Canis lupus familiaris: one gene and its partners. The protein of the gene in region 1 interacts with the protein of each later gene in a pairwise test. Links are inferred from orthologs where the notes say so. Each region holds a gene or a part of one and is shown on either strand. Other genes may lie near its edges.

Region 1 (5,442 bases):
TTGATTTCCCTCTCTTAAGAACACTCTCTCTCCCAGCCCTGTACACGGCTGATTCCTTCTCTGGCTCAGACGTTAGCAGGTCTTCCCTGCCTTCTTACCTACAGTAGCCTCTCTCCTAAATACTCTCTGATCAGGTTATTTGCACTTAACGATATTTGAAATTATATCATTTATTTTTTAATTTGTTTTTGTCTGTCTCCCCACTACTAGAATGTAAACTCCAAGAGATCTGGGCTTTTGTCTGCTCGCTATTATATCTCTAATGGCTACTGAAGTGCTCAGCACAAAGTTGGTAATCAACAGAATATTTTCAAAATAACAAAATTTTGATGACTCAAAAAAGTAGTTTCAATGGTACAGATGAGGTAGAAGCATATTTGAAGAGGACTAATAAATGAGTAATGAACAAAGAAAACAGAAAACGTAGAGTTATTTTAGGAAGCATGATCATGAGAGGTAGAGTGAAAGGCAGAAGACAACTACAGTTGTTGAATGGTTGTTACAAAGGAGAAAACCTTTTCTTAAGTCTCTTTCTATCAAGGACTCCCTTCAGAATTAGATAAAAGCTGAGTCCTTTCCTCAAGAAAATAAAAACACACACAAAACTTTACAAACAATTTCAGGGGATTCAAGAACTCTCTAAAGTTCTTGTCCACTAGGTTAAGAAGCCCTACAGTATAAACACATCGAAGATTCCTAAGAATGGGTTAATGTTAACTAATGGAGAAAGGCCACAGAGCCAATAAAAGGAAACCCAAATAAACGGTATGTGCACTGTCCGTCCTTTGAGATAAGAGGAAAGCAAGGTCAGGTGAAGATTTAGATAAGAAGGGGTAGAAATTTGGGACACCTGGATGGCTCTGCAGTTGGGCTTCTGCCTTAGGGTCGGGCATGATCCTGGAGGCCCGGAATCAAGTCCAACAGCGGGCTCCCTGCTTGGAGCCTGCTTCTGCCTATGTCTCTGCCTCTCTCTGTGTCTCTCATGAATAAATAAATAAAATCTTTAAAAAAAAAAAAAAAAAAAGGGGGTAGTAATTTAAAGTCCTGCCTAGTAGAAGTTTCATTTTTTATGAAATAGGAGGTAAGATCATGTGCTAAAAATAAAAAAATATCAATCTTGAGCAAAATATCATGCATATAATACATGCTCAACAAATGTCATCAAATATTTTGATAGGATAATTAAAAATACTGTAGTACTTTATATGGAATTCTGAAATCTGGTTCCACAAAAAGTCTACTTGTTTTCTTTTTGTAAAGCTGTCTCCAAAAGTTTACAGTGATAGACACTGAAGTAGGAAGAAATAGCCTCACTAAAAGAAAAATGTAAAAAAATCACACAGTTCTTTGAGTAATTTTGAGACAGGTTTTTGTACTATAAAAGTAAGTCAAAAAACATTTTGGGAATTCCCTTCAAACAAAACAGTAAAGCCATAATGCTTAAACTTTCTTATGAAAAACAAATAATCTAATTATCCATTCAAACTTAAGCTCCTTATTTCTAATCCAGACTATTCTGTAAAGGAATAACTTGTCTTTTTTAAGGAAAATAAAGCAATGGCCTTAGGAGAAGTATCATTTACCAAGACCTCTAAGAAACATAAGAAGGAGTTAAAGAGTTGTTTTCAAGGGGCTTTCATAAACTAAAAAATATTAATAATAAACATGTTAATCCCATAACTAACACAAATAGAACTACCTTACTAACTAGCTCAATTAAAAAGATTCTTATGAGGCACATATATGAGAAAGTTCACAGCAATGGTTCATGTTTACCAAAAACTGTAAAAACATTAATAGTGGATTAGGTAAACATTAAACAACAAACTAATTACAAGCAACAAGGATAAAACTTAAAAACCTCACATTGAGGGCAGCCCTGGTGGCCCAGCGGTTTAGCGCCGCCTTCAGCCCAGGGTGTGATCCTGGAGACCTGGGATCGAGTCTCAAATCGGGCTCCCTGCATGGAGCCTGCATCTCCCTCTGCCTCTCTCTCTCTCTCTCTCTCTCTCTCTCTGTCATGAATAAATAAATAAAAAATCTTAAAAAAAAAAAAAACTCACATTGAGTAAAAAAGCAAACTGAAAAGGAATAGTTACTACAATTCCATTTATATAAAGTTCAAAAACAAGCCAAACTAGAATATGCGGGTTCCTATACAAAGATAGTGAAACTCTAAAGAAAAGCAAGGTAGTGGTTGGTTATCATAAGAAGTAAGGATGGTGGCTACATCTGGGGAGAAGAGAGAGCATGTGATGAGGAAAAAAATGAATAGTAACACCTGCTCTACTTGCCTCTGTATATGGAATACTCTAAAAGCAAATTACTCTAAAACTGATCTAAGCAACTTAAAAAGAAGACAGGAAAAGAGCCAACAGAATCTCTACATCTGATTATATGCCGGACTGTAAGCAGTGATTTCTTTTTTCCAAGTCAACAAAATAAAGTATATTTTGGAAGCTGCCATTAAATCACACCAAAGTTTATTTTACAGTAAATATTTCATTAATAACGCCTTCCTAGTTACTTCTCATTAATTAAAATTGAATGGTTTAGTCCCTTGAGCAATTAAGATACAAACAAGAATCAGTTTTATCCTGAAGGCAGATTTGAATGTGACACTTTCCATTTATGTTTCTAGTTTCTGGTTTCTAACCTGGTTTCTTCTAGTCGTAAACCAATTATTATCTTATTTTCTTACAGGTTAAAAAGAAAAGTGTAGTTTAAATGCTGAAAACCAGTAGAGGAAACTTAAAACAACGAATATCCTGCGATATAAGGCCCTGTAGTGTAAGAAGGAAAACACGGGGTATATTACCTAAGCACATTTTTCTTGAAGCCTCCATCCTTGACTTTATTTTAAAAAACAAACAAACAATAACAATGTATTCCTTTGTGTAATTAGATGTCCGGTCCATAATCGCCGCAGTTATTCAACTTTAATCTCAAATATTTTTTTTCAAACAAAACCCAGTTTACTCTGCCTTTCCTGTGTATAATCTCTACCGAAAATTACAAGAGACTTTCATGCAAATACCTACGTAATCTCGGCCCTTCACCTCCCAAAGTCTATCAAGAGGCTTAGAAGTGAGAGGCTGGGAGTCGGGAATAGCAGGTTGAATTCCCAAATCTCTGACTTCCAAATTCCTCACCTCCAGTCCAAGCGTTTCTAAACAGAACAGTGTCCCCAACAACCAGGCGGAGAGCTGCGGCAGGAAGCGAAGCGGTCACCATAGGAACTGGGCTCAACCCGAAGCGCCCAAGAAACGACAACAGGGGCAAAGTTTGCTCCCGGTGGGCTTCCCTGGACCACAGCTCTGCCCGCTGCCGTCCCTCGCAGCCAGTCAGGCAGCGAACTCCCGCTTCGGAGGTCACCCACGGCCTCTAATCCCCGTCACACGCGCCCGGATGCGGGGCCTTCCGACCCAGGGGCTGCTTTACCCCAACCCGGCGCAACCCTGCTGCCTCTACCTGGAGCTCCGAGTCCCTCCCCGGGCTCCTCCGCCCGACATCCTCCCCGGAGCTCATCGCGACGACTGGCGGGCCACCGCCGGCGCCAGGGATCCAGGCCCCTCCCCGTCTCCATCCTCCGCCCCTTTCCCCTCCCTTCCCACCCCTATTGCGGCCTGGCTCCGCCCCGGCGGAGGCAGAGGAAGGCGGGACCCGGGGGGAAGGAGGCGGGGGCGGTTAGCGCCGGTCGGCGCCGCCGTCGGCCCCGCCCTCACGCTCCGTACCTGAGGGGGGCTCGTCCTCCACCTCCCCGGCGCCTTCGCTCCGCTTCCGTCGCGCGCGCCCCCAGTTCCCGTGCGCACGCGTACCTGGCTCGCCTCTCTCTCTCGCGGGGACTACAGCCGTGCGTGCGCAGCCACGCACGTAGCGACGCGTATGTCCACCTGCCCACCGTACAGGGCGCGGAGCAGACGCCTCTTCCTGGTCCATCCGCGCCGCGCAGGCGTACGACCACGCAGGGCCTAGACGTCCCACCCGAGCGTCCCGTCTCCTAGTAACCAGCCGCTGGCCGCTTCTCCACAGCTTAATTCTTACTCCCTGCCTGTGGCTGCCGCACCTGGATGGAACGCGCATGCGCAGGGCTGTATCTCCGCCTGCCTTCTTCCCTCCGCTCTTGGAACACCTGTTGCTTTGCTGTTGCAGTTTTGTGGCATTTTTTCCCCCTCGGGATACGGTGTCGTTCTGGACCCACGTTCAGTGAACTCGTTACTCCCTTTAGGGCGCTGGAAGGTTGCTGAGCTCTCCTGGCGTAACCAGGAGCCGGTTTTCGGGGAGTCTCCTAGGTCGGGTCCTGCTGCTGCAGCCTCTCCGGAGAGAGCAGTTCTGTCCGGGTAAGCGCCTGCAGCCGGGGGAGCCATGACCCACGACCCGGTCAGCCCTGCACCAGTCAGCCATGGCTGAATCGGGAGGTGGCACAACTCGTAATGAAAAGGCGCAGATCCCTGACCGGTGTTCTTCTCCACGTGCCAGTTCCCCCAAAGACCTCTTTCCAGAAAAACTGGTGATGGTTAACAAAAGGGGAAAGGGTATACTATCTCACTTGATATTTAATATTGTATCGATCGTTTGCCTGTTTAACACCATCTGCATTTGTCTTCTCCCGAGCGGGAGCCTTCAGTTTTGGAACACTCTTTTAATTTAACCAAGTGTAACATTATCGGCCATCCAACTATGTTAAAATCCATCGCCTTACCTAAAAGTAGAGGAATGAGCTTTTTAGTGAAAAAGAATGAGGATTGCATTCCTCTGCCAAATTTTGGGAGCCCGGCTTGAAAAGAAATCCTATTTTTAACATTTCTTAATATTAATCTGTCCTAACCCAAAGGCTTCTAAATTCTAATGGCTTTATCGCCGTATCTTTTCCTACAGGTGAAATAGTTAACTAGATTTTTATAGCTGTTCTCTGATGATCTTGATAAAGTTTGCACCTCTGTATTTCAAAAGTAATTTCACATTTGAAGAGATTAGCAATTCCTGTTTTTGCCAGGTGAGTACTCATTTCTCTCTCCCTCCACAGTATGTTATTGGCAGTCATAAATACACGTTAGAACAAATTTCTTCGTAAAAGTACGTTTAATTATGAGTGCCGTTATTTTTCCCCATCTCCGATTTCTTCATTATTTATGTTGTTACATCTTCTAGTTTGTAGCATTTATTTTCAGCTATTATATACTTTCAGCTAAGTATAGCTAGTCACTAAATAATCTGAGTGTCTGTGTTCTTTTAAACAAGGAAGTCAGAGGTGCCATAATTATATTTCCTCTGAAGTCAGAGATGCCATAACTATATTTCCTCTGAAATATAATTATGCCTGATAAAATAAGTTACAAAGAAACATGAACTGGAGTGCCTGGCTAGTAGAGCATGTGACTTGCTTTTGGGGTCGTGAGTTTAAGCCCCATGTTGTGTGTGTTTTTAATTTAAAGTTTTAAA
Region 2 (4,690 bases), on another chromosome or scaffold:
ATTAGGGAGCTGCAAAGGGTAGCAGGGTGGTAAGGAAGCTATAGTTATAAATTTAAAGCAAGAACAGTCAGCCCTGCTATCTTTCCCAGTTCCAATATACAGGAGGTGGTTAAGTACTGATTCCAAATCCTCAACAACCCTCTTGAGTCCTGGTATGTGCTAAGAAATAGTACATGGTTATCTTCATTATTTTGGACACCCTAACATATGTAAATTACATACATGAACTTAATGCCAGATATGACCAATACTAAGCTCTTATCAGATCTATTTCCTGTCCTTACAACTAAAATACTACACACTTGGGACGCCTGGGTGGCTCACTGGTTGAGCATCTGCCTTTGACTCAGGGCATGATCCTGGGGTCCCAGGATCAAGTCCCACATCAGGCTCCTTGCATAGAGCATGCTTTTCCCTCTGCCTGTGTCTCTGCCTCTCTGTGTCTCTCATGAATAAATAAGATAATTAATAAATAAATAAATAAATACCACACACCTAATAAATACCTAGTATCTAGACCAATTCTTAAATCATGTATCAACTGGCCCTTTCCAAACATACTAGCTTATAGCAAACTTTTCTTCCTTGGAGGGCTTATTATTTACACTTCTCATGTGGTATTCTTTGAGCTAATCTGTGATGGTTATTTCTCTTCTGCATATGTTCTGTGTCCCCAGTTGGAAGCAACTTTAAGAACAAAGATTAGTATACTTGCTAGAATACTCTAAAAATGTCATGAATCTTAGCAGATACATAATATTTATTAGTTAACTTCTCAGCACTTTTTTCTATGTCCTCAGGACTCAAAACATAGCTCTATTTATATACTTCTGTGTTTAACATTCTTATAAAAATTCCCATTCTATATCTGGAATATTTCCATACATACTTGGTGGATCAGCATTTTCATCTCCAGGAGTATCTGATGTTGACAAAAGCTATGGAACAGGAGAAAAATTAAGAGGTAAAATAAAAAATCTCAAACAACCTTAAACAGAACAACAAGATAAGTTTACCTTAAGTAATGTACACACACTTCGGAAAACTAGGTAATTTATATACTTATTTTGCTCTGTTTTACTTTAATCATCATAAAAATCCCCTTAAACTTTACCTACTTCCAAATTATAGTTCAAGCATTTCTTAGTTTCAGGAAAGGAGGAAAAAATATTCATGGTTTCTCATTCCACTTAAAAGATATTTCAGCTAGATCACTCTCAGGTTCCCAATTCTTAACAAGTTGCTTTTTTTTTTTTCCTGCAAAAGATAGAGGAGGCACTACAGATCCTCCTCCAATCCCACCACAAATTTGTACAGTGGGAGATTGATTTTTCAGAAACTTAAAAGCAAATCTTTTTTTTTTTTTTAAAGATTTATTTATTTTAGAAAGAGAGCGAACAAGCATGAGCAGGAGGAGGGGCAGAGGGAGACAGAGAATCCTAAACAGACTTCCTGCTGAGTGCAGGAACACTGGTTCAATCCCACAACTCTGAGATCATAACCTGAGCTAAAACCAAGAGTCAGATGCTCAACTAAGCCACCCAGGCACCCCCCAAAAATTTTTAAAAAGCCCTGAACAAGTAAAGTAGTAACAAAAATAAAAATTAAGGTGTCATTAATTGGGTATAATGCAATTAACCATAATCAATAACAAATGTAAATATTACTCTTAATAATATTCTTTGTCATTATTATTCAAGAGAATTCAGCATTGCCAAATATAAAAACTTACCTGCTCAAGAAGGTGAGGGTATCGAGCTTGAATCTCATCCACAAATTCCTGCCCTTTCATGCGTATCAAGAACTCACACCTATAAAAGACAAAAGTTGGGATCACTGGGTGGCTCAGTGGTTTAGCGACTGCCTTTGGCTCAGGGAGTGATCCTGGAGTCCCAGGATCGAGTCCCATGTCAGGCTCCCTGCGTGGAGCAAGCTTCTCCCTCTGCCTGTGTCTCTGCCTCTCTCTCTCTCTCTCTGTCTCTCATGAATAAATAAAAATCTTTTAAAAATAATTTTAAAGACAAAAGTTACTTTTAAAAAGTGTTCTATACCAAAAAATATGACCTAATCTTCTAGAAAAGTGGCTTTCAAACTCTCTGATTGCACCCCACAATATAAACATTTTACATCACAGCCTATCAAGCAGGAAAAAAGACTCCTTGTGAAACACTACTCTATTGTGACACATTGTGTTATTTTCTATTTATCACATAAACGCTTAACAATAAAAGGGTTTAGCCCTCAAAGGGGCACAAGCTAAGACTTGAAAAATGCTGTCCTGGGCAATTAACTTTTGGGGTTTCACATAGTTTCAGAAGCTGTAATTAATATTCCTAAAACATGATCTTTCACAACAATTGCTAATCTTTCTCAGGGGTCCACTCTTCCATTAACTGTGAAGCACAAACCTTCTCCCCGAAACATATCTATATGCAATATGATGGTGTTTCCCAAAAACTGGTTCACAAACTCCTAGAGCTGCTCAAAAGCCTTCCAAGCAGCTCACCTACAGCTACTTCCATTTTACCCCATCAGTGTCTCTCAGTAAACAGTCCAGCACCCACCCAGAAAAACAATGAGCCTCCACCTATGTTACACTGCATGCAAAAATTCACTAGGAATAAATCAGAGACCGAGATGTTAAATCTAACACGATGCAACTTCTAGAAGACAGTAGAAAATCTTTTTGTCCTTGGGCCAGTTAAGATTTCCTAGCTAAGAGACCAAAAGCATAATCCATACAAGATAAAACTGATAAAATGACATCCTCAAAAGCTACTGCTAAAACCATGAAAAGACAAGCCACACATGGAAAGTTGGCAAAACAAACCTAATAAAAACTTTTACCCAAAATGCATTAAGAACTCTCAAAACTTAGTAATTAAAAAAAAACTTTAAAATGGGCAGAAGATATGCAGAAGGCAAATTAGCTCACCGTCATTCATCATTAAGGAAATGCTAATTAAAACCTCAGAGAGGGATCCCTGGGTGGCGCAGCGGTTTGGCACCTGCCTTTGGCCCAGCACGCGATACTGGAGACCCGGGATCGAATCCCACATCGGGCTCCCGGTGCATGGAGCCTGCTTCTCCCTCTGCCTGTCTCTCTTTCTCTCCCTCTCTCTGTGACTATCATAAATAAATAAATAAATAAATAAAAAATAAAAAAATAAAAAAAAAAAAAACCTCAGAGAAAGATCATGATACACCCACCAGGATGGTGATACCAATTACAGTAACTGCTGTGGAACACCTGGAGGTCTCACACACCTCTGGGAGGAATCCAAATCAGCGCAGCCACTTAAACAACACAGCAGCCCTAAGGAAAACTTCCCATACAACCCACAAATCCCAAGCCTAGAGATTCACCCAAGCAAAATGAAAACACATGCCCATGGATGTTTATTAATATTGACAGACGCTTTGCTGCTTATTACTCCAAACTGGAAACAACCCAAATGTCCTTCAACTGGTTACTAGGTAGAATTAGCAGAGATCATTTAAGCACACTCAAGACTTAAGTCTGTCACGGAGACAAGACCGATAGTTCCCACAATGTTCTCTATTATCCTATAGTTTTAAGTTATTTTTCTACCAGGACTGATTAATTTACATACATAATGATTAAAGCAGCAAGTATAATGAACCCCCGCTCACAGATCTGCCCCCTTTTCTAACAAGGTCACTAAGGACAGAGATTTTGGGATGCCTGGGTGGCTCAGTGATTGAGCATCTGCCTTTGGCTCAGGGCATGATCCTGGATTCTCAGGATTGAGTCCCATATCAGGCTCCTTGCATGGAGCCTGCTTCTCCATCTGTGTCTCTGCCTCTCTTTCTGTGTCTCTCATGAATAAATAAATAAAATCTTTAAAGAAAAAAAAGAGATTTTGTTTTCATCGCTGCTACAGCTGCAGTAGCAGAACTATCATCCACCAGGGACTCAAATATGTGACAAGTGAACTGTTACAAAATAGTGATAACCGTGATCCATTTTTGTTTTCCATTTACTGAGATTTAAAGTTATCCATAATTGAAATTTGCTGTTTTCTGAAGTCTTTACACAAAGCACCCTAAGCCTTTTTCCCTTAACTATCTAAAACAAAACACAAATTACATGAATAAACCAAGATTTTGTCTTGTTTTATAAAGCGCAAAATGAAGTAAATCAAACACCAGAATTGGAAAGCTATTTTTGTCTTTTTAATAGTTATTAAGTTTCAAATTATATGTATACAATCCCATAAAGCCAAGCATAATGGTCATTTAAAATTCTGATAATAAAACACTTTTCCTAAATAATTTAAACACAACTTCACTTTTGAGAATTAGAACGTCAGATTTTACCGTGTTAGGTTATGAATATTAAAGATAAAATTTTAAAACCCAACTTTTTTTTTTAAAGATTTTATTTATTTATTCATGAGAGACAGAGAGAAAGAGAGAGAGAGAGAGAGAGAGAGAGAGAAAGGCAGAGACACAGGTAGAGGGAAAAGCAGGATCCATGCAGGGAGCCTGATGTGGGTGGGACTCAATCCCAGGACCCCAGGACCACGCCCTGAGCCAAAGGCAGATGCTCAACCGCTGAGCCACCCAGGCGTTCCAAAACACAACTTTTAACAATGTACTGACTCAAAATAGTTCTTACTTCAAGTTCCTTTATCTTAAATCATAAAAAAAAAAAAAGACAAAAGGA
Region 3 (4,690 bases), on another chromosome or scaffold:
TTAATGGCAAGCTTTCATCCCAGAAACATAAGGGGATTCTTGAGGCCTGCAGTTGCATTCCTGCCGCTCAGGGTAATCAATAAAATCTGGGGCAGGCAAGCCAGACAGGATCATGAGGGATTTGTTCCAGATTGTGAATGTTGGACAAACTGGAAGAATGAAGGTCACATCAAAAGTATGAAGATGGAGAGAGTTAGCTGGGTCATAGAACGACAGCATGTTGTTGTCATAATCCAGAAGGACACCCAGACGCTTCAACTGTGGGGGCACATCCACCAACATTTCCTTGTTGTTATGTCTCACTACAAAGTTACTATTGCATCGAGAGAAGACCCATGAGGAGGCATTCTTGCCAATCCATTCGTTCTTGGGAGCAGACTTGTAGGCAATACCAATTGCATACCTGTGAGCCCATGGAAAGGAGAGAGAAATGAACATTTATTAATGATCTGATTTGTGCTGGACACCACATGGGATATATAAGAACTCTAATGCGTGCTTCCCCCTTTACAAAATAGTTTACATTTTAGGCCTATAACGTTCATAGCATGAGAGCCGGACAAAGTCAGCAATTAGAGTGTTGGAGTATGGGGCACCTGGGTGGCTCAGTGATTGAGCGTCAGCCTTTGGCTCAGGTCCTGATTCCAGAGTCCTGGGTTTGAGTCCCACATCAGGCTCCCTGTAGGGAGCCTGCTTCTCCCTCTGCCTGTGTCTCTGCCTCTCTCTCTCTGTGTCTCTCATGAATAAAAAAGTAAAATCTTAAAAAAAATAGAATGCTGGAGTAATTTCCAACTCCTAGCCCAGTGTGTTTCTCAAGATTTTATTTATTTTATTTTATTTTATTTTATTTTATTTTATTTTATTTTATTTTACAAAAGCCAGCCAATTTTTCTAGGAGTGGTTTTCATCACATGTCTTTTAACCTTGACTTACTGGTACTATGTTTGTACTATGGAACTGTATCTCCCAGGAACCTAACAACAGGGGAAAAAGGGAGAAAAAAATAAAAGCAGGATCTACTCACCAGGTGCAGGAACCCATAACTACCTCCCAGTAGTGGCAGCCACTGTCAATGAATATATTCCCTGCTGCCCCATAGCACCCTGTGCTGCTAAACCTCTCTGGGGTATGGCTCTTCTTCAGAGAGCTTTCATCCTTCTCCATCTGCAACCCATCATTGGAGATCTTCAACTTCTTGTGAGTCATTTTCGGATCCAATTTAAAGGGTTGGCCTGAAAAAAAGTAGAGAAGAAGAAAATGCATGAGCAAGTATTTAAGAATGCCATCTTTGTCCCCTAGGACTATCACTACCAGGGGATTCTTGATATGATTCTTGATATTCTTGGGCCAGTGCGAGCTGGCTGCTATTTTTATTACATTATGGAAATAGAGACTGAAGGCATCGTTTTCAATAAAATAATCAGCTGCCCCCCATATGTTATCAAATTAAAAGAGGGCTCTCAGGACCTCATGTTCTCAAATATGTTTTAAACTCTGCTTTATTTCAGTGGGTAGTTTGGGAGTTAAGTAGATCTTAGTGGAAGGAGTATTCAAGGTGAGATAGTGTGAGGGGAACTGATGAGGTTATTGCTGGTTGGTGACAGAACAAAAAAATAAGAACTCAGTAAAGGCCATCCTTCTACCCTCTTACAATTGGGATATAAATAACATGATTAAGTGACTTCATTAGAGTGTCTGATACATCATGAATGATCAGAGAGAACATTTGTTGTGTAGGATCATTCACGACAGAGAATTCCTTAGAACCATTAAGACGACACAAGTGACTAGGAGCCAATTGCTGGGTGTGGCAAGAGCTGGATTATACAAAATGGGTCTGTGGCAGACACTGAACACAACACCCATTCCCTGCTTTTTCTCTTTTGTCCACTTTCACTATAGAGGCCAGAAAAACTATAAAATATTCCTGTTGCTAGCCTCTCTTGCTGCTAGGGGTGGCTAATAAGATGGAAGTGAATGGAAAGAGAAGTCAGACAGATTTGGGGACACTTCGGGGAAAGTGCCTGCTTTCCCAATAGAAGGAGACAGCCATCACATGCACCAACCCTTTTTTCCTTTCCCTATCTTAAAAGGAAATATGACCTCTGGAGGTAGCAATGGCCATATTGTGACCATGTGACAATAAGTCAATATGCAATGGGAGAAGGAGCCTGGGTCTTCTACAACATCATTAGCATAGAACGAGCTGCTGCACTGGCTCTGAACTGCCCACCTTCAAACTTCTTGCTATATGAGAAAGAGAAAAAAATACGATTTGCTTTAGCTACTCACAAATACTATTTATTAAGCTGAGTTAGTTGGATTTTCAGTCAACTTCAGTCAGAAGCATTCCAAACAGGTATGGCTTCTCTGCAGAAGGATCCTACCAGATTATCACAAATAGTACTGTTTTACACAATTGTTTGCTCCAAGCATGGGATGGGGTACAGAGAAAAACCCTGTAATAACACCCTCTCCAAACACCAGCTGCTACTACATATACTTTGTGTGTATCTTTGTGCTCATGTATTTCCCAAGGTCACCAGCAAATCCCAGGCCCAAAGCACAAACTGCTGTGGGTGCCTGCTCAGGACCTCCCTGGTGCAGAGGGGAAATGGAACTCTCCTTTTGGAATCACCATAACGTACTATTTGTTTTTAGTCGGGTGGGTTCACTGTTCCGGCTGCCTGCTTGGTTTATGGCTTTAACAATGAAGATGTAGCGGGTCCCGCTCTGAAGTCCATGCACTGTGTAGTGGTTCTGTTTAATGTTGGGCACAATCATCCAGCTATCCACTGAATTGTACAGGCCTGTAAAGAGGGGAGGAAGATAGAACATTAGCCAGCAGATAATAGAGGATGAGAAGCACACTGACAATTCATTAAAAGCCCCCACTACCACCACCAAAAAAAAAAAAAAAGTGAATTTCATTTTGTTTTCTTTGGAGTCCCAGGAGACAGAGTGAGGTAAATATCTTCTGTTTCTTTTCTCCCACGGAGCTAGGCTTAGGCCAGGCTCCCTGCCTCTGATAATTGAATGTCATCACTCGTGAAAGTTAGGTTGCTTCAGTTTTCTGCCCAGTACCATAGGAAAGGCCACTCTACAAAAGTCACAGAATCATCACTTTTATGGAGTCTCTGGATCTTTACACCAAAGGTCCAATCCTCTGAGAGCTGACTCTAACCTGGTATGGATGGAGCAGTCCTGGGCAGAGCACAGGAACATGGACTGTCAGAGCCAACAGGACACCCACACACTGTATTTCCCTCATTTGACAAATGGGAAACTGAGAGAAAAAAGTGACTTGCCCAAGGCCACAGACAGATGGTGATGGTGCGGAGAGTGTAATCCTGGTCTCCTTAACCCTAGTCCAGTGTTTTCTCCACCCACTACATGACAATTCATGAGGTAGATAACAATATTCCTTTGTCCCTGCAAAGTATTGAAGCTTCCAGGGCTTATGTATGGCTCATCTCTCCCACCCCATCCTCACCCTTACTTCCAAAACTAACTAGGCTCCAAGGTATCATAGGGAAGCCAAAGAGATGGCATGAAAAACAAAGCCAAAATTGCCATCTCCTCACTTGATACTACCCATTTTTGCCCCTTCCTGGTTCTAATACTCATTTGAAATAGGATGGTCCAGGAACACATTGTTGCCTGGAACCTTCTTCCCTCTCAAGCCCAGAGATCTAGGTTTCTGCTTTCAAAACTCTTTGGACCATAAACACTGATTTAAACAGAGAAAAATGTGCATAATTAAAAACACGTATTTGGATAACTGTGAGTAAAAGAGGGGTTGCTGTTCTATTTGTGAATTATCGAGGCTTCTTTTCTTCTGTTATCTGCTTTTTAATCAGTTTCCGGCTTTTTAACCACAATTCTACCAAAGCATGCAAAAGAATGGGGGCATGAAACATGAGCAGTAAATTTAGTCACTTCTATGCAACCCTCATAAAGGATTTAGTGAGGTTGAAAATTAAAAATAATCATGAGTGTTTTAGCAAAGAATAATAATAATCATTAGTGTCTTGAAAGAGATCCGATCATGAGGGCTTTATAATGAAGTTGATGGGAGGTTAAAAAAGTCTAAAGTAAAACTAGAAAAAGAGGCATAGTGGAGGGCAAACAGAGATGTCCTAGAAAGAATAACTGGTGAAGAAGCTCAGTTATGCTCATGAAAGGCAATAAGGATAAGGGCCAGGAATAATGTTGGAGGGCTTGGTTATCCACGTGCCAATTCACAATATGAATGATAAACTGCAGAGGGAAATAAATGATCTTCCAGATATACTTCTAAAAGTATAAAACAAAACTTCACAATGAAGTACTATGTAGCTATGAAAAAGAATGAGAAGGATCTCTATTAAATGATATGGAGTGATTTCCAGGGTATACGGTTAGTGGAAAAAAAGCAAATAGCAGAAGAGCATATATAGTATGCTATTTTTTTTTTACAAGAAATAAAGGCAAATAATAGAACATACATATATTTGAAGTTGATGACCTATAAGGGATAGGGGTAGGGGCATGGGATTAGAAAGATATGGGAGAGAAGGACACTTCTTTGAATACACCTTTTTTTGTATTATGTTCCCTCTGGGAAACACATTGTCATTCTATGAATTCATAAAATCACAATTAAATCAATATGAGTGGGAAAGAGTGGAGACTAAAACCAAAGGCAAAG
Region 4 (5,472 bases), on another chromosome or scaffold:
ATCAACACTTGCTCTAAAACTACTGTTAGTGCTACCTAACTGGTCTCCCTGCTCTTGTCTCCCTCCACTCTATTCTCTTCACAGTAGTAAGGATTATCTTAAAATGTGATCTCACTCACCTGCTTGAAATTCTTTACTTGGCATCCCAATGCACCTAGAAAAAATCCAAACTCTTTATCCTAGCCTATAAGAACCTATGTGATCCTCTCCTCGTTCCCCAACCACACTCCAGAGTCACTCTCTGCTCACCAAGCTCTAGCCATCTTAGTTCCTTGAACAAATTAAGCTCTTTCTGATGTTAGAGATGTGCACATGTCATTTCCTCTACCTTGGAACACTGTCCCCTCTCTCCATTGGTTAGCTCTTTTTCACTCCTTTGGGCTCTAACTATCAACTCATTTAGAAAGGCTTTGTCTGCCTGACCACCTTACCCAAAGAATATTCCTAATACTTCCATCTTTAGTCTCTAACTCTCCTATTTCTAATTCCTTTAGTTTTATATAGTATTTGTTTTTTGTCTGGCTACCTCCTAAATTTTAAGTTCCATAAATAAGGGCAGGAACTAGTCTGTCTTGTTCATAACTTTACTTTCCCCTACCTAACACAGTGTCTGGCAAAGTACTATATGTAATTCATAAGGAAGTTACATCTCCAAGAGTCATTTCTGATACTGTGACACTCTAAGATTGTATTTACTATGAGATTAAAGGGCTTCCATATAAACTTCCCTGCAAGCACTTAGTAGGCACTAAGTATCCGTACAATGAATGAATGACATGCAAATAATACCAAAAATTTGTCTCTATTCCTGACCTTTCTTCTAAACTCCAGATTTCGGGATCCCTGGGTGGCGCAGCGGTTTGGCGCCTGCCTTTGACCCAGGGTGCGATCCTGGAGACCCGGGATCGAATCCCGCATGGGGCTTCCGGTGCATGGAGCCTGCTTCTCCCTCTGCCTGTGTCTCTGCCTCTCTCTCTCTCTGTGACTATCATAAATAAATAAATAAAAATTAAAAAATAAAAAATAAAAAAAATAAACTCCAGATTTCATTTCTAACTGCTTGGATATCCATCTCAAACCAACAATGTCCAAAATCCAGATTATCATCTCCACCACCAAACCTGTTCTTCCTATATTATCCACTTAAATTATTGCCCAATCTTCTTCCCACTCAGCTGCAAATTCTAGGTCTTTAACAATATCTCATCCTCCATATTTAAATAACCCCAGTAGATAGCTGAAATATATGTAACCAATAAAACCACTATTTAAAAAATAAATAAATAACCCCAGTAGTTCTGACTCCCTCAGATTTATTCCTCCTGTAATACTCTGTTTAGGGCTCATTATCTTTCAACTACGCTATTAAAATAGGCTTCTAAGGGGTCAAGCTGCCCTAAAAATTCCCTTTTCAATCTGCCTTTTTTTTTTTTTAATTTATTCATGAGAGACACAGAGAGAGAGAGGTAGAGATACAGGCAGAGGGAGAAGCAGGCTCCATCCAGGGAGCCCCATGTGGGACTCAATCCCGGGACTCCAGGATCACGCCCTGGGCCGAAGGCAGGCGCTAAACTGCTGACCACCCAGGCGTCCCTCAGTCCACCTTTTTATGCAGCCACTTGCGTTATCTTTCTAAAACACAGAAATGCTTATGTTACTCTACTCATTCAAAATTCAGGGCCTGAGAAAATTCCTAAGCCTGGCAGCATGGCATTTCAAATATTCTACAATGTATCCTCAACTACTGTTCCAGTTACAGCACTGTCCATATTCCTCAATTAACCCTTTACTCCAGCCGACAGGGACTGGCTTTTGAATGAACACACCAGCCTATATCAGTGCTCAAGTCTTTGCTTAGACTAGTTCTTCAACCAGTAATAAGTACTGCCAATCCAGTTGCGATGTTTTAAAATCCTTTCCAGTCTTTAAAATCCAACTCAAGTGCCGTCCTCCAGTAAGACTCTGATCCTTTCCCTCCAGTAAGAACAAATCTCTCTTTTCCTTGGTGTTCTCACAACACACTGTTTCACCTCTCTTTAGCAATTATTCCATTCTGTCTTGGTTGTTAATTGTCTACATGCATATTTTTTTCACTGGTTAAGGCCGCTGAATTTATTCATTCTAACTCTGCATTAACCAAGTATGATGCTTTGAACAAATTAAGCATTCAGGAAGTATCTGTTGAATAAATAGGTAAGTCTCTTCCCCTGGGGGGAGGGGGGAGCTAGAGATTAAGTAACTTGTCAAAAATTCAGACATTTACTTAGATGCAGAATTTTTAAAAATAAGAACCTAAGGGCAGCCCCAGTGGCCCAGCGGTTTAGCACCTGCCTTCAGTCCAGGGTCTGATCCTGGAGACCCGGGATCGAGTCCCACGTCGGGCTCCCTGCATGGAGCCTGCTTCTCCCTCTGCCTGTGTCTCTGCCTCTCTCTCTGTGTGTGTCTCTCATAAATAAATAAAATCTTTTAAAAAAAAAATAAGAAGAACCTAAATCTTCTGTTCAGTTGAGTTTACTCTGTCCACGCTAAGATCACCCAAAGTGGAATTTCTCACTCCCTAACAACAAAATGCCACTGACTTTATTTCAGAATGTTTCTTTCACTCTCATTGAAAGTATGTTGCATTGACCCGCGTGCCAAAGTGAAGAAATACAAATTCTTGAGTCCCAAGTTAGCAATATTTAAACTTCCGAATGGTGCCCCATATCCCACATGCGTGAGCAAGTGGGATAAACTTTAATCGACTAACTGCATTCTTGTCTCTGAAGAAACTTCAGAGGATAAATTTAACCTGCGAACGCATTCAGCCCACAGCCTCGCCTGGAGACGACAGGAGGAGAAGCGAGCAGCCAAGCCCCTCAGAGCCGGCAGCCTTCCTCCTAGACTCAGGAAGTAAGTGGACGTATGAAGGAAGAAGGTAGCTCCGGGCCGAAAGAACCAGGGCAGAGTCCCTTGGCATCCTCGTTCCCCCTCTGCAACGGCCTTAGCGTGAGGCCCCAAGGGCCGCGGGCAGGCCCGGCGGCGGGTGCAGTCCGGCAGCCCCCGCCCTGGGGACTCGCTGACTCCAGCTTTCTCGGGACCGTCTTGTTCCCAAGCCCCCGCCCTCAAAACCAAGCAAAGGAGCCGAAACCTCCGCCCCACTACGCCGCGAGGGGCAGGGCCGAAGCCGCAGGGCTTTAGACCGGCCGCTCCCGGGCCCGCCAGATCTGGGAGGGGTGCCCAAGGGGGGCGGCTTCCCTGTCCTCTCCGGGCGGTGGGGAGGAGGAGCGAATTCGGCCCCAGCTCCCGAGAGGCCGCTACCGGCTCCCTCCCTGCCGGGGACCACCTAGCCGCGCGGGTGTGGCCCGGCCCGGCCCGGCGCTCACCTTTCCGTCCCGGGCAGCCGGCCGGCCGTCAGGCGGTCCCGAATTCCGTCCACACACAGCGTCTTCCGGCTCCCGCCGGAAGCAGCAGGAGCGCGGGACAGGAAGTTTGGCCGGCCCCCAACGCTCACACCCACTCGCTCGCCCCGGGCCGGACGGCGGCCGCCCCGCGCCGGGGGCAGCCTGAGGCGGGCGAGGCGCGCGGGGACCCGGCTGTCTGAGCAGGGCTGGACCCCCGCCCCCGGGACTAGGGCTGCGGTCTCCGGCGTCCTAGTCATTCCAGGCCTCGGGGCCCCGAGGTCTGCGAAACCCGAAAAACGGGGTCAGTGCATTCCAGCCGTGACGTCGCCGCTTCCTCGCAGCGGCAGATGAGGTAGTTTTTCCTGTCAGCTGAGATCGGAACTAGTTACAATGGAGGCCAGCGAGAAGGAGAGCACTCCTTAAACACCGACCAGAGTTCTCACTGAAGAGGAACACTTCGAAGCTTCACTGCTTGAGAAGGGAACTTGCAGAATCTAGCTCAGCATTGCATTCGCACAGGGTAAGAGTTGAGACTCGAGTGTACGACTTTCCTTGTAACATGATCTCCCTAGAGTCTGGGTTCCCTGTGTTAGGATGCAAAGAGGTCTCGGATATCCACACTGGGGACTAAAACACTTGAGCTCCAGGCTGGATGCCACAACTAACTTGTTAGAGCTTTATGCGGTTGAGACTTTTGAAATTACTCATTTGTGAGTACCTGCTGTGTGCCAAAGGATGAGGACCTCAACTGAGGCAGTGGCAGTGATGGAAATTAAAGGCGTTCTCTAAGAAAGGTATTTATTTTCAAGGTTAAACACAAGCCTTAATGATAGGCATCTGAATGAGTGAGGGAGTAGTAGTTTGGGTGTGCAAAGGATGGTGATTTAAAAACAAAGTAGAAACACGTAAGAGGAAGGTAATTTCTTTTTGGATAAACAGTTTATCCCAGGTGTCAACAGGATATTTTACTTGGGAGGTCTTAAGCTCGAGTAAGAGGTCAGAAATAGAAATGTACTCTGCCTTTGGCCCAGGCCATGATCCAGGGTCCTGGGATGGAGTCCCGCATGAGGGTCCTGCGAGAAGCCTGCTTCTCACTCTGCCTCTCTGTTTCTCATGAATAAATAAAATCTTTAAATAAAAAAAAAGAAAAGAAAGAAAGGAAAGAAAGGAAAAAAAAAAGATTTGGGAGTTATCAACATATAAACCAGAGATGAAGTGCTCTCTGGAGATGAAATGGTCCAGGAAAGGTATATAAAACGAGAACACTGAAGTCAACCAGAGTGACTGATTTACTAACAATGTAAATCTACTTTCCACAAATGTCGCAGGCAAAAGTATAGAGCAGGGTGTAAACAGGTGACCATAAACCAACACAGCACCTAGGAAAATAAAATCAATTTTATTGTTGTAAAGGGCTGATTATAATTAATGAAACAGATCCTCTTATTTAAAGGCACATTAATTTTGAACGTTCATGTTTCAAACATTTGTTAATTTTCTTAGTCCTGTCATTTTCTAAAGCTGTCTTGATTGCCTAAATATTTCTAATCACCTGAAACTTCAAGTGATGTTTATATCTATTTGCCCTGGAAAATCTTTATGCTATTTGACAGTATATGCCTGCTAACTTAAAACAAACATGCTTTATCAATATATATTGAGTTTTTATGCTATAGAGGAAACTAGTTAGCAAAACACAGATCATCCTCTGTAGTAAACTAGTTTCTTCATCAACCTGACTGACCTGTTATTTATCTTCTCAACACAAAGTCTCTGCTCTCCTATCCTGAAAACTCCACAAGCTCTAAATTCCACCCCCCAAACTCTAACACGTGCCCTGCTATTAAATCCCTTTTCTATCTACAATACAGAAAAGCCATCCCAATTCTATTCTTATACCAAGTTACAGTTCAAGAATTATATAAAGCATTTCCAGGTCAACATACATTTACTACATGTCTTCACAAGCATTCTATTTTAAATAAAAGTTATTAACTGTAAAAATCCATTTATTTTGTATAATCCATTAAACAGTTATATCAAATCTCCAGTGGTTTCCAAATATCTGATCAAATATCATATATAATAC
Region 5 (4,437 bases), on another chromosome or scaffold:
TGCCTTTGGCCCAGTGTGTGATCCTGGAGTCCCGGGATCAAGTCCCACATCAGGCTCCATGCATGGAGCCTGCTTCTCCCTCTGCCTGTGTCTCTGCCTCTGTGTGTGTGTCTCTCTCATGAATAAATAAATAAAATCTTTAAAAAAAAAAAAAAAGAATGTCAGCCTAGGGATCCCTGGGTGGCTCAGTGGTTTAGAGCCTGCCTTTGGCCCAGGGCATGATTCTGGGGTCAAGTCCCACATCTGGTTCCTTGCACGGAGCCTGCTTCTCCCCCTGCCTGTGTCTCTGCCTCTCTCTCTCTCATAAATAAAATCTTTAAAAAAAAAGAAGTCAGCCTAATCATGTGGTTGCATCCCTGCTACAAGTACTCCAAGGGCTTTTTACTGACCTGGAATAAAACCCGCACCCCACCAGGTCCCCCTCCATGCTAGCCTGCCATCTGCAGGACTCCAGCCAACGCCGCTGCTTGCTTCCCCACCTCAGGCAGGTCCTCCACACAGCCCCTCCTCAGGGAGGCAGCATCGGGCGGCCCCTCCCTGGTCAGGTTCTATCACCTTGTATGTCTTTTCTCTTCCCAAGGACGCCCGTCCGTTCACTTAGGTACCTGTCCATCATCTGTCTCTACCACCAGGACAGCAGTGCCTCGGCAGCAGGGACCCACTCAGCAAGCCCACCACTATGGCCCCTGAGCGAGGACACTGCCTGACTCTGAGCAAATGAGCGATGTTTTATATTCCTCACTCTGGGCAGTGGTCTTCTTCCAGAAGTAGAGTTTTAAAACAAAAGTTGAGAAAAAGAAAACCTGGGGCTTGCCAGAAACTTCTCAAGCAGCCTGGGGAAGGGGTTTTGAGAAAGGCACTACCTAGAGAAAACAGCTGGGGACCACCTCTCGCATTTTCCGGGTGGATGGAGATGGCTGCAGGGGAATTCCCTCTCAGTCCCAGAGAAAACATGGCACACTGTAATCACCTTTATTGAGCCACAGCATTCAGACATCCTGGTGGCTGGTATCCACGAGGGCAGCTGGCCGGCCCCCCACCCTGAGCCCCCAGAGGCAGAGTCCCCAGCTGTTCACCCTGAGCCCCCAGAGGCAGAGTCCCCAGCTGTTCAGCCACACACTGGAGCAGGACAGTTCGGGTTGCCTCCTTGAGAAATAGCTTCCTCTTTGGAAATGGCCTCACTCAGGCCCTGCAGATCACTGAGCAGGACAGAGAGGGATCCTAGGAAAGAAGACCCCCAGGGATAGCAGCCAGACAGACAAGGCTGTTGCAGCTCCGGTTGCAGAGAACAGGACTGCCATCAGATGGGAGGGTTATGAGGGAGGGTGTTCTCTGGCCCAAGGTGGGCATGGATGAGGGGCTGTGGGCCTCCAAAGGTCATGGAGAAAAATGCTCACACCATTAAGAGCACCTGGAGGAGAGATTCCTTAAGTCCTGTACATCCATCCATCCCTTCCTACCTAGACCATTACCTTTTATGGACTCCCTGGTGGTGGGTGCTGCCAGAGGCACAGCTGCTGAAGACCCTGGGTCCCTGGGGCTGGACTCCACAGACTTTCCCTTATCCAGGAGGGAAGGAAGAACTGCCAATAGTCGCTGCTGCTTGTAACGGGAGAGGAGACCCTCCTGCTGCAAGGTGGCCTGGGAAGGAGAGGGTCAAATGCCACCTAGCCCGGGCAGAGCCACCCCTCCCCAATGAGGCCTCTACTCCCCAGGCAGCTCCAGGGCCCAGTCTCTGACCCCCTACCAGCATAACGTTCTTGTCCCTCTCTAGCTCCTGCAGGCGCTGGGTCAGCCGCAGCCCCTCCTCCTTCCGGGCCTCATCTTGCAGGCGCCTGAGCTCCTGGTTCCGCTCCTTCTCCCAGGTGGCTTTGCGCTGCATCTGGCGCAGGGAGACCACTAGTGGAAGCCAGGGTACAGAGGGCACAGGTGTGGGGCAACCCAGAGGTAGTGAGGCACCATGAGAACAGCTGGAATTGTGGGCAGAACACTGGGGGGCTATGTCTTCTGCATGCTGGGCACAGTGGCTGATGCTCCACAACCCCATCCCTGAACCTTCCTGGACTCATTTAGGGAGAATCTGAATGTGTACTGAATATTCAATTTGGTGCAATCAATGTCTTCTTAATGTGTGCCAATGACACTGAGGTTAGGGACGCCTGGGTGGCTCAGCTGTTGAGTGCCTGCCTTTGGCTCAGGGCATGATCCTGGGGTCCCAGGATCAAGTCCCATATCCGGCTCCCTGCAGGAAGCCTGCTTCTCCCTCTGCCTGTGTCTCTGCTTCTCTATGTCCCTCATAAATAAATAAAATCTTTAAAAAAAATCTTTAACAAAAAATAGATGAATAGCTGTTGCATCTAGTTAGAGGAAGTACACAAGTGGGCACTGCATGAGTCTTGTAATTTGGCTAGGTATTTGAACTTTTCCCTACTATGACATTGAGGGGAAGCCTCTGGCTGGGTCAGTCGGTAGAGTACATGATTCTTGATCTTAGGTAAGTTTGAACCCCATGCTGGTTGTAAAGATTACTCAAAAACAAAATCTTTTAAAAAAAAAGTTGGGAGACGGACACGTGCAGCACAGAACATCATGTAAAGATGGACACACAAAAGAATGATGTGCCAACAAACCAGGGATGCCACTGATTGCCAGCAACCATGAGAATGCAGGAGAGAATCATAAAATAGACTCTCAGAACCTCTAGTAGGCACCAACCCTGGCCAGCATCTTGACTTCAGACTTCTAGCTTCCAGTACTGTAAGAGAACAATTTTCTATTGCTTTAAGGCAAAAAAAAAAAAAGAAAGAAAAAGAAAAAAGAAAAAAGAAAAAAGAAAAAAGAAAAAGAAAAAGAAAAAGAAAAAGAAAAAAGTTGGGGGTAATGGTTGGTGTGAGGTTGGGATGGCCGTGGCCTTGTGGAGGGGGGTGGCTGGGCAGGGCTCAGGGGGCACTAGGGCTGGCCACCTGCTGGTGCTCCTATGTGTGCTGGCTGAAGGAGTGTGTTCACCGCCTCAGAATGTATTTGTGCCATTTCTTGGTAACTTCATTATTTGCATACTTCAAAAACAGCTTTAAGATCCTTGGACACCTGGGTGACTCAGCAGTTGGGCACCTGCCTTTGGCTCAGGGCGTGATCCCAGGATCCGGAATTGAGTCCCACATCAGGCTCCCAGTGGGGAGCCTGCTTCTCTCTCTGCCTGTCTCTCATGAACAAATAAATAAATCTTAAAAAAACAAAACAAAAAACCCTTATGTCCAACACTGCCTTCTCCCCGGACGACCACAGCCACCCAAGCAAATCTCACCTGCCTTGCCATGCTCCCTCCGAGCCTCATTCAGTCTCCTCTCTGTTTCTAAGAGCTGTTCCCGCAGCCTGGTTTCCACTTCAGCCACCTTCTCTTGCAGAGCTGGGGGGGGGGGGGGGGGGGGGGCGGGGGTGCAGATGGGATGTGTCAGAGGAAGCTTTGCTTCTCCGTTCCTCACAGCCCTCCGTGGTAAACAGACTCCGCATCCTGCACACCTTGCCCATAGAGCTCCTGCTGCTGGGTCAGTTCCTGCCGGAGATTGGCAGCCTCCTCTGTGCTCTCCTGCTGGCCCTGGCGAGCAGCCTCCAGCTGCAGCCCCACACTAGCCAGGGACTCCTGGGTGCGTTGCAGCTCCTGCTCTAGCTGCTGGGCGACCTCACTCAGCTGCTGCCGCTCCGCCTCCCCTGGGAAGAGATGGCACTCAAAGGTCTCTCCGTGGCCAGACTCCACTCCTCCCTCCCCAACACACCCAACTCTGGCCCCTGCTCCAGCTCTGTAACGCCAGGACCAAGCGTACCTTGCTCCCGGGCCCGGCCCACCTCCTGCTGGATGATGTGGGCACTCAGCTGCAGCTCTGCATCCAGGCGGTTCCGTTCTTCCCGCAGCTGCTCCAACTCAAGGCTCATGTGTGTGGCTGGCGGGGCTGGGGGGCAGCTGCAGCAGGGAAGGGAAAGAGTCAGGGGCAGTCACCTAGCCTGATCCCTAAGCCCCCATCCCCTTCAGTCCTCACTGTCTGGGGTCCCAGCAGACACCACCTTAACCCCCTCCCATCCACCGCAGTGCCCCAGGCTTCACCTCTCCTGGCGCAGCTGAGCAAGGGCCAGTTTTCGAGCCATCAGGCCTGGGGGAGAAAAGGCAGAGAGCAACGGAGAGGAGCTTGAGGAGGGAAAGGGGAAGGGATGCATGGTCTGGTGACAAGAAGGCATGAGGTCAAATGTGGGAGGCAAGAGCTGGGGAAGGCAGGGGCAGGAGTACAGCGTGTCTGGCAGTTGCCCTACCCACCCCGAATCGTGTGGACCCTGCGGACGGCATAGCTGACTCGGCTGCTGAGGCAGGGCAGCCGGGCTGCAGCCCCTTCCACTTCAGCCATGGTGCTCTGGAGCCAGGTCTGAAAGCTGGAGAAGGCACACATC
Region 6 (4,690 bases), on another chromosome or scaffold:
GCAAGGAGGAAATTTTTTATTTAAGATTTAATTTTAGCCTTAGAGATTTTGAGCAGATTAAGATTTTTAAGCTGTGGTTTTTCACAATAACTTGAATTGTTGCAGTAGGTCTTTTACTTGAATAGAAGATAACCTGGTTTAATGCTTTGTTGGCTGTATAGAGTTTTCATCTAATGCAGTGGTTATCAAAGTGTGTGATCTGTGGACCTCTGGGCATTCCTAAAACCATTTTAAGGAGTTGTAAGGTTAAAACTATTTCCGTAATAGTACTGAGATGGCTGTTGTCATGATTTATCAGTCCTCACACAGGAACAGTAGCATAACCAGTGCACAAGAGTAATCATTCCCTCCATTTCTCCTCCTCATTCTTCTTCTCTCCATCTCTCTTCTGACTCATGGATTGTCCGTGTGCTTCTGTTTCCTCATCTGTAAAATGGGGGCAATAATAGTACCCACTTCATTAGATTGTTTGGAAGATTCAATGTGTTAACATATGTACAAGATAAGGTGCTTAGAACAATACTGGCCCATAGTGAATGCTCATAGTATGTCTTAATGTTAACTATTACTGTTTATATTATGGTTTTGTTCCCACTTCTTTAGTTCTATGCTTAAACTGCTTATGGCCTTTGTATTTATAATGATTTCTCAATTTAATTAAATAATTTGTGAACTAATGAAATATGAAGGCCTAGAGAAAGATTTGTTCTTTTTATGAAAACAAAATTGAACGGTTGGAAAGACAAATTGCTTTAAAAACCCCAGATAGGGGTGCCTCGGTGGCTCAGTTAGTTTAAGCATCTGACTCTTGATCTCAGCTCAGGTCTTGATCTGAGTCATGAGTTCAAGCCCCATGTTGGGCTTAAAAAATAAAGAGAATGCTAGTAGAATTTAGGGTGAGTGAAACAATTGTAAACAATTGGAAAAATTGAAGTCTAATGACTTTTATACTCAGATTACTTTCTAAATAATAGAAGAACTCAAAAATAAGACTTTGAGGTTCCAGAAAATGGTTGGTGAGTTACTATAATTTATAATGTTTTTAGTTAAAGTAAAGCGTTTAAGATGTATTTGAATTTTAGATGATTTCCTTTTAAAACCAACTTTTTCAATTAATAGATCAAGTCATGTTCCCTAAAAAATGGGCCCTTATTCTAGAAGAAGGGCAGATTAAAAGGTTAAAAAAGATTGCATATAAGGATTGTGTTGTGTAATTATGTTTAAAAGACTTAGGTGCAAAAACAGATGCATAAGAAGTATAACAATCATTAATACACCCTAATGATAACATTGTAACAAAGAGTTACTCTAATGTACTCTGTCTCACAGATTTGTTGACAGGAGACTATGCCACATGAATAATTGAAACCTTTCCTTAAGGATTTACAGTAATCAGAGTTCATGTTTGAGATATTGTCTCAACCCTTGAGCTCTAACTCTGTCCCTTTTCTATTTATAGGGATCGGGTTGTAGCAGTTTTTGTGCAAGGTCCTGCATGGCAGTTCAAAGGTTGGCCATGGCTTTTGCCTGATGGATCACCAGTTGACATATTTGCTAAAAGTAAGATTCTCTTTATTTTTACTGCCTATCCAATATAGAAATGCTTTTGCATTATGTACAAGAAAGCCACATATGGCTCTGCATATATGATATATACATTAAGACATGCTCATTTTTAAGCACCTGAGAAATATTTTTAAAGTATTTTTTCAGACATTAATATTTGTTTAATGTACTTATGTCTAAAAGTAAATTACCGTATCCTATTCCCACATTGGGTCACTTAAAAAAGGATTAATTTGTTGCACATCCATACATTTTTATTAAAATTGATGGCTAGTTTTTAAAGGGGTTGACTTTTGCTGAATAGTAATGTATAGCTAGAACTTAAAGAGCCATATGACTTTTTACTGGCTATTTCCATTGTCCGGAATGATTATAGTATGCATGATGTTTTTTGTTTTTTGTTTTTTTTTTTCATTCAAGCATAAATTCAAGTATTGTCTCCTTTAGAGAATCCTTCTCTGGCCAACCAGTAAATAACCATTACTTTCTCCCAGTTACTCTTTAAGCTCCTTTTTATGATAGTACTTACTGTTGTTTGATATTATCTTATTTATATCTTTATTTTAAGTCTTCCTTGGCTATAAGGCTAACTTCTTGGTGGGAAGAGCCCTTTTCTGCCTTGTTTACCCTTGAATTATCACAGAAGAGTGCCTGTCATAGAGGAAGCATTCAGTAGATCATCTGTTAAATGAATATTTCACGTGGCTTATATCTTTTGGTATATTGGAGATTAATTTATTAATTTAGTCTGGTTTTTGCAGTAGAGATATTCCAATTATTATTTAATTCGAGTACCCAATTAAGTTAGTAACCATAGTAAATTTTTTTTTCAAAAGCATTCTCATGAAACAAGTATGTTTATTAGAAATGACAACTTCGATTATTATGAATGTGAAGTGTGCTACTGTAAAATCCAGCCATTTTAAAAGCAACTTCAGATTTTGTTGGCAGTTACTAAACCATTCTCCCAAGATAGAAACTACTGCCCAAGCTTGAAAGTTTTAATCATTTGTTCTGCTCTACTTTCATTCTAGACAATGATTCTAATATTACTAATATTATGATAGATTTTTATGTTATTTCTGAAACTTGAATAATACACAGTTGATAAATAGAAAGTTAAAGGTGGAGCGAGAACGGGAATTTAAATAAAATGTGAACACAAATGTTTTACCTACTTGCTTGCCTTTTTGAATAGTGTTGTAACAATAACAAAAAAATGATTAAAAGGTCTTCAAGATGTAAATGCTGTCTAAATTTCAGAATGTAACGATGTTAGTAATTGTTTTTTTCAGATTGTTAGTCTTCTGAAACTTAGATAAGAACTTGAGACTTTTTTAATAGTTAGCAATTAGCGATTTTATTCCATGAATTATTCTTTCTTTTCAATCTTCCTTCCTTAATGAACATTTAAAATGAAAGTCCCTTCCATCTTAAAACCCTTTCTCTTGACCTTAACTCTAGCTCCTCTTTTTTCTTTTACTTGAATTATCTCTACTAACTTATTTTCTCTTTGGTTCTCAATTCACTGTTTGGCTCCTTTGCTCTCTACTAAACTATTCTCACCAAACTTATCAGTGATTCAAATACTATATACTTTTGAGCTCCTTAAGGGAATTTGATTCTCTTGACTTGGTTCTTTCTTTTTAAAACGTTCTTTTCCAAAGACTCGTATACTCTTTCTCAGATTCTCTAGCTTCCTTTGGCTTTCAGCTAACTACCTGTTTATGTTTTGTTTCTCTTCTCCTTTATTATTGATACTCTCTCAAGGAGATCTGATAGCTTTCAATTACCATGTTTAATCTTCCCTTTATTCTAAGTTTGGTCTCTAGTTTTATATTCTGGGCCTATGTATCTCACTTAATTAGCAGATAACGCCTATGTGAGACCCTATTGGTACATCAGACTCAACCTGTTCTAAATGGAGTTGATTATCTTATATTCTCCCTCATTCCCATACTGTTTCTTTTCCGCAATTAGTTGGTTTCCTTGCTTTTTACTTGCCTTTTCTAGGTTTTTACCCTTTCCCCCATCACACACATAGAAAATGATAACATCTATATAGCATGGGGAAAAACTGAGGGTATTTAGGACCATCTATATGGGCCCTGGTAGAAAACTTATATTTTCTTCATATTGCATAATATAGTAGACTACAAAATTTTAGAGAAGATATTAAGTATAAATTTTATAAATTGTATAAAATTGATAGTTACCATTGAGAAAATTTTTTCATTAGTAATCTATATTGTGTTACTTCTTTGTCATCTGACATGCCATTATTGTACCTACAAAATACTATTCAAGACCATTGTCTTTTTTTTTTTTGCTTCTTTGTTCCTGTAAAATAATGTTGACAAGTGTCTTGCAGTTTGCACAAAATGAACAATTCTGAATTATGTGAAGTATTTTGCTTTAGTACTGATTGTGCTACCAGAGAGATGACTGACTTTCTTATAAAAGAACTTCATTTGTTCTATTTTTTGCTGAGGATTAAAAAGCTAAAAGTCTTTTTCTGAATAAGAGGTTTTATAGTAATGTCTTGATGTAAATTTGCCACCATTCCTTTAATGCTAGTAAAATATTCTGTATGGTGAGAGAAACTTTGTGCTTCTCATTTGTGATTTAAACTTTTTGGACTGTCATGTTTCACCTTAAATTATAAAAGTTGTCTATTCTGGTGGAAAAATAAATACTGTATAAACTAAATCTATTGAAATTAAGGAGTGGGGGACTGTAGGCCTTTATAGCTTTAGAGAAATCTTTTTTTTTAATCTTTTTTTTTTAAGATTTTATTTATTTATTCATGAGAGACACACGAAAGAGGTGGAGACACAGGTAGGGGGAGAAGCAGGCTCGCCGCAGGGAGCCCGATGTGGGACTCAATCCCAGGACTCTAGGATCACGCTCTGAGCCAAAGGCAGACGCTCAACCACTGAGCCACCCAGGGATCCCTAGATAAATCATTTTTTAATTTAGTTTAATTTTTTCCTCATTTTATCTGTTTCATTTTTTCCCCCAGATATACCTAATATATTTTTAAGAGTGAGGGGTACCTGGGGAGCTTGGTCGGTTAAACATCTTGTCTTTGGCTCATGTCATCCTCCCCAAGTTTCAGGATCAA

What was found.
Region 2: the proteins of TSGA10 (region 1) and BIRC2 interact in binary tests that used the Homo sapiens proteins (3 or more experiments, as listed by UniProt). The two-hybrid records come from large-scale screens. The link is inferred for Canis lupus familiaris from reciprocal best matches to the Homo sapiens genes TSGA10 and BIRC2.
Region 3: the proteins of TSGA10 (region 1) and MID2 interact in binary tests that used the Homo sapiens proteins (3 or more experiments, as listed by UniProt). The two-hybrid records come from large-scale screens. The link is inferred for Canis lupus familiaris from reciprocal best matches to the Homo sapiens genes TSGA10 and MID2.
Region 4: the proteins of TSGA10 (region 1) and ZNF410 interact in binary tests that used the Homo sapiens proteins (3 or more experiments, as listed by UniProt). The two-hybrid records come from large-scale screens. The link is inferred for Canis lupus familiaris from reciprocal best matches to the Homo sapiens genes TSGA10 and ZNF410.
Region 5: the proteins of TSGA10 (region 1) and CCHCR1 interact in binary tests that used the Homo sapiens proteins (3 or more experiments, as listed by UniProt). The link is inferred for Canis lupus familiaris from reciprocal best matches to the Homo sapiens genes TSGA10 and CCHCR1.
Region 6: the proteins of TSGA10 (region 1) and CDC73 interact in binary tests that used the Homo sapiens proteins (3 or more experiments, as listed by UniProt). The two-hybrid records come from large-scale screens. The link is inferred for Canis lupus familiaris from reciprocal best matches to the Homo sapiens genes TSGA10 and CDC73.

The regions. Positions count from the first base shown.
Region 1 is NC_049231.1:44,604,935-44,610,376, reverse strand, and holds the start of TSGA10 (testis-specific gene 10 protein), read right to left. Parts: upstream 3,587-5,442; 5' UTR 3,529-3,586; coding exon 3,472-3,528; intron 1-3,471. UniProt on the Homo sapiens protein: Plays a role in spermatogenesis. When overexpressed, prevents nuclear localization of HIF1A.
Region 2 is NC_049226.1:29,446,917-29,451,606, forward strand, and holds part of BIRC2 (baculoviral IAP repeat-containing protein 2), read right to left. Parts: intron 1,812-4,690; coding exon 1,733-1,811; intron 939-1,732; coding exon 890-938; intron 1-889. UniProt on the Homo sapiens protein: Multi-functional protein which regulates not only caspases and apoptosis, but also modulates inflammatory signaling and immunity, mitogenic kinase signaling, and cell proliferation, as well as cell invasion and metastasis.
Region 3 is NC_049260.1:82,071,987-82,076,676, reverse strand, and holds part of MID2 (probable E3 ubiquitin-protein ligase MID2), read right to left. Parts: intron 2,811-4,690; coding exon 2,649-2,810; intron 1,233-2,648; coding exon 1,025-1,232; intron 404-1,024; coding exon 1-403. UniProt on the Homo sapiens protein: E3 ubiquitin ligase that plays a role in microtubule stabilization. Mediates the 'Lys-48'-linked polyubiquitination of LRRK2 to drive its localization to microtubules and its proteasomal degradation in neurons.
Region 4 is NC_049229.1:47,425,419-47,430,890, reverse strand, and holds the start of ZNF410 (zinc finger protein 410), read right to left. Parts: upstream 3,462-5,472; 5' UTR 3,366-3,461; intron 1-3,365. UniProt on the Homo sapiens protein: Transcription factor that binds to the sequence motif 5'-CATCCCATAATA-3', and is specifically required to silence expression of fetal hemoglobin in adult erythroid cells.
Region 5 is NC_049233.1:980,567-985,003, forward strand, and holds the end of CCHCR1 (coiled-coil alpha-helical rod protein 1), read right to left. Parts: intron 4,420-4,437; coding exon 4,307-4,419; intron 4,146-4,306; coding exon 4,100-4,145; intron 3,959-4,099; coding exon 3,822-3,958; intron 3,709-3,821; coding exon 3,520-3,708; intron 3,407-3,519; coding exon 3,305-3,406; intron 3,299-3,304; exon of another isoform or gene 2,964-3,298; intron 2,756-2,963; exon of another isoform or gene 2,551-2,755; intron 1,900-2,550; coding exon 1,748-1,899; intron 1,642-1,747; coding exon 1,473-1,641; intron 1,222-1,472; coding exon 1,109-1,221; 3' UTR 957-1,108; downstream 1-956. UniProt on the Homo sapiens protein: May be a regulator of keratinocyte proliferation or differentiation.
Region 6 is NC_049259.1:6,439,325-6,444,014, reverse strand, and holds part of CDC73 (parafibromin), read left to right. Parts: intron 1-1,459; coding exon 1,460-1,560; intron 1,561-4,690.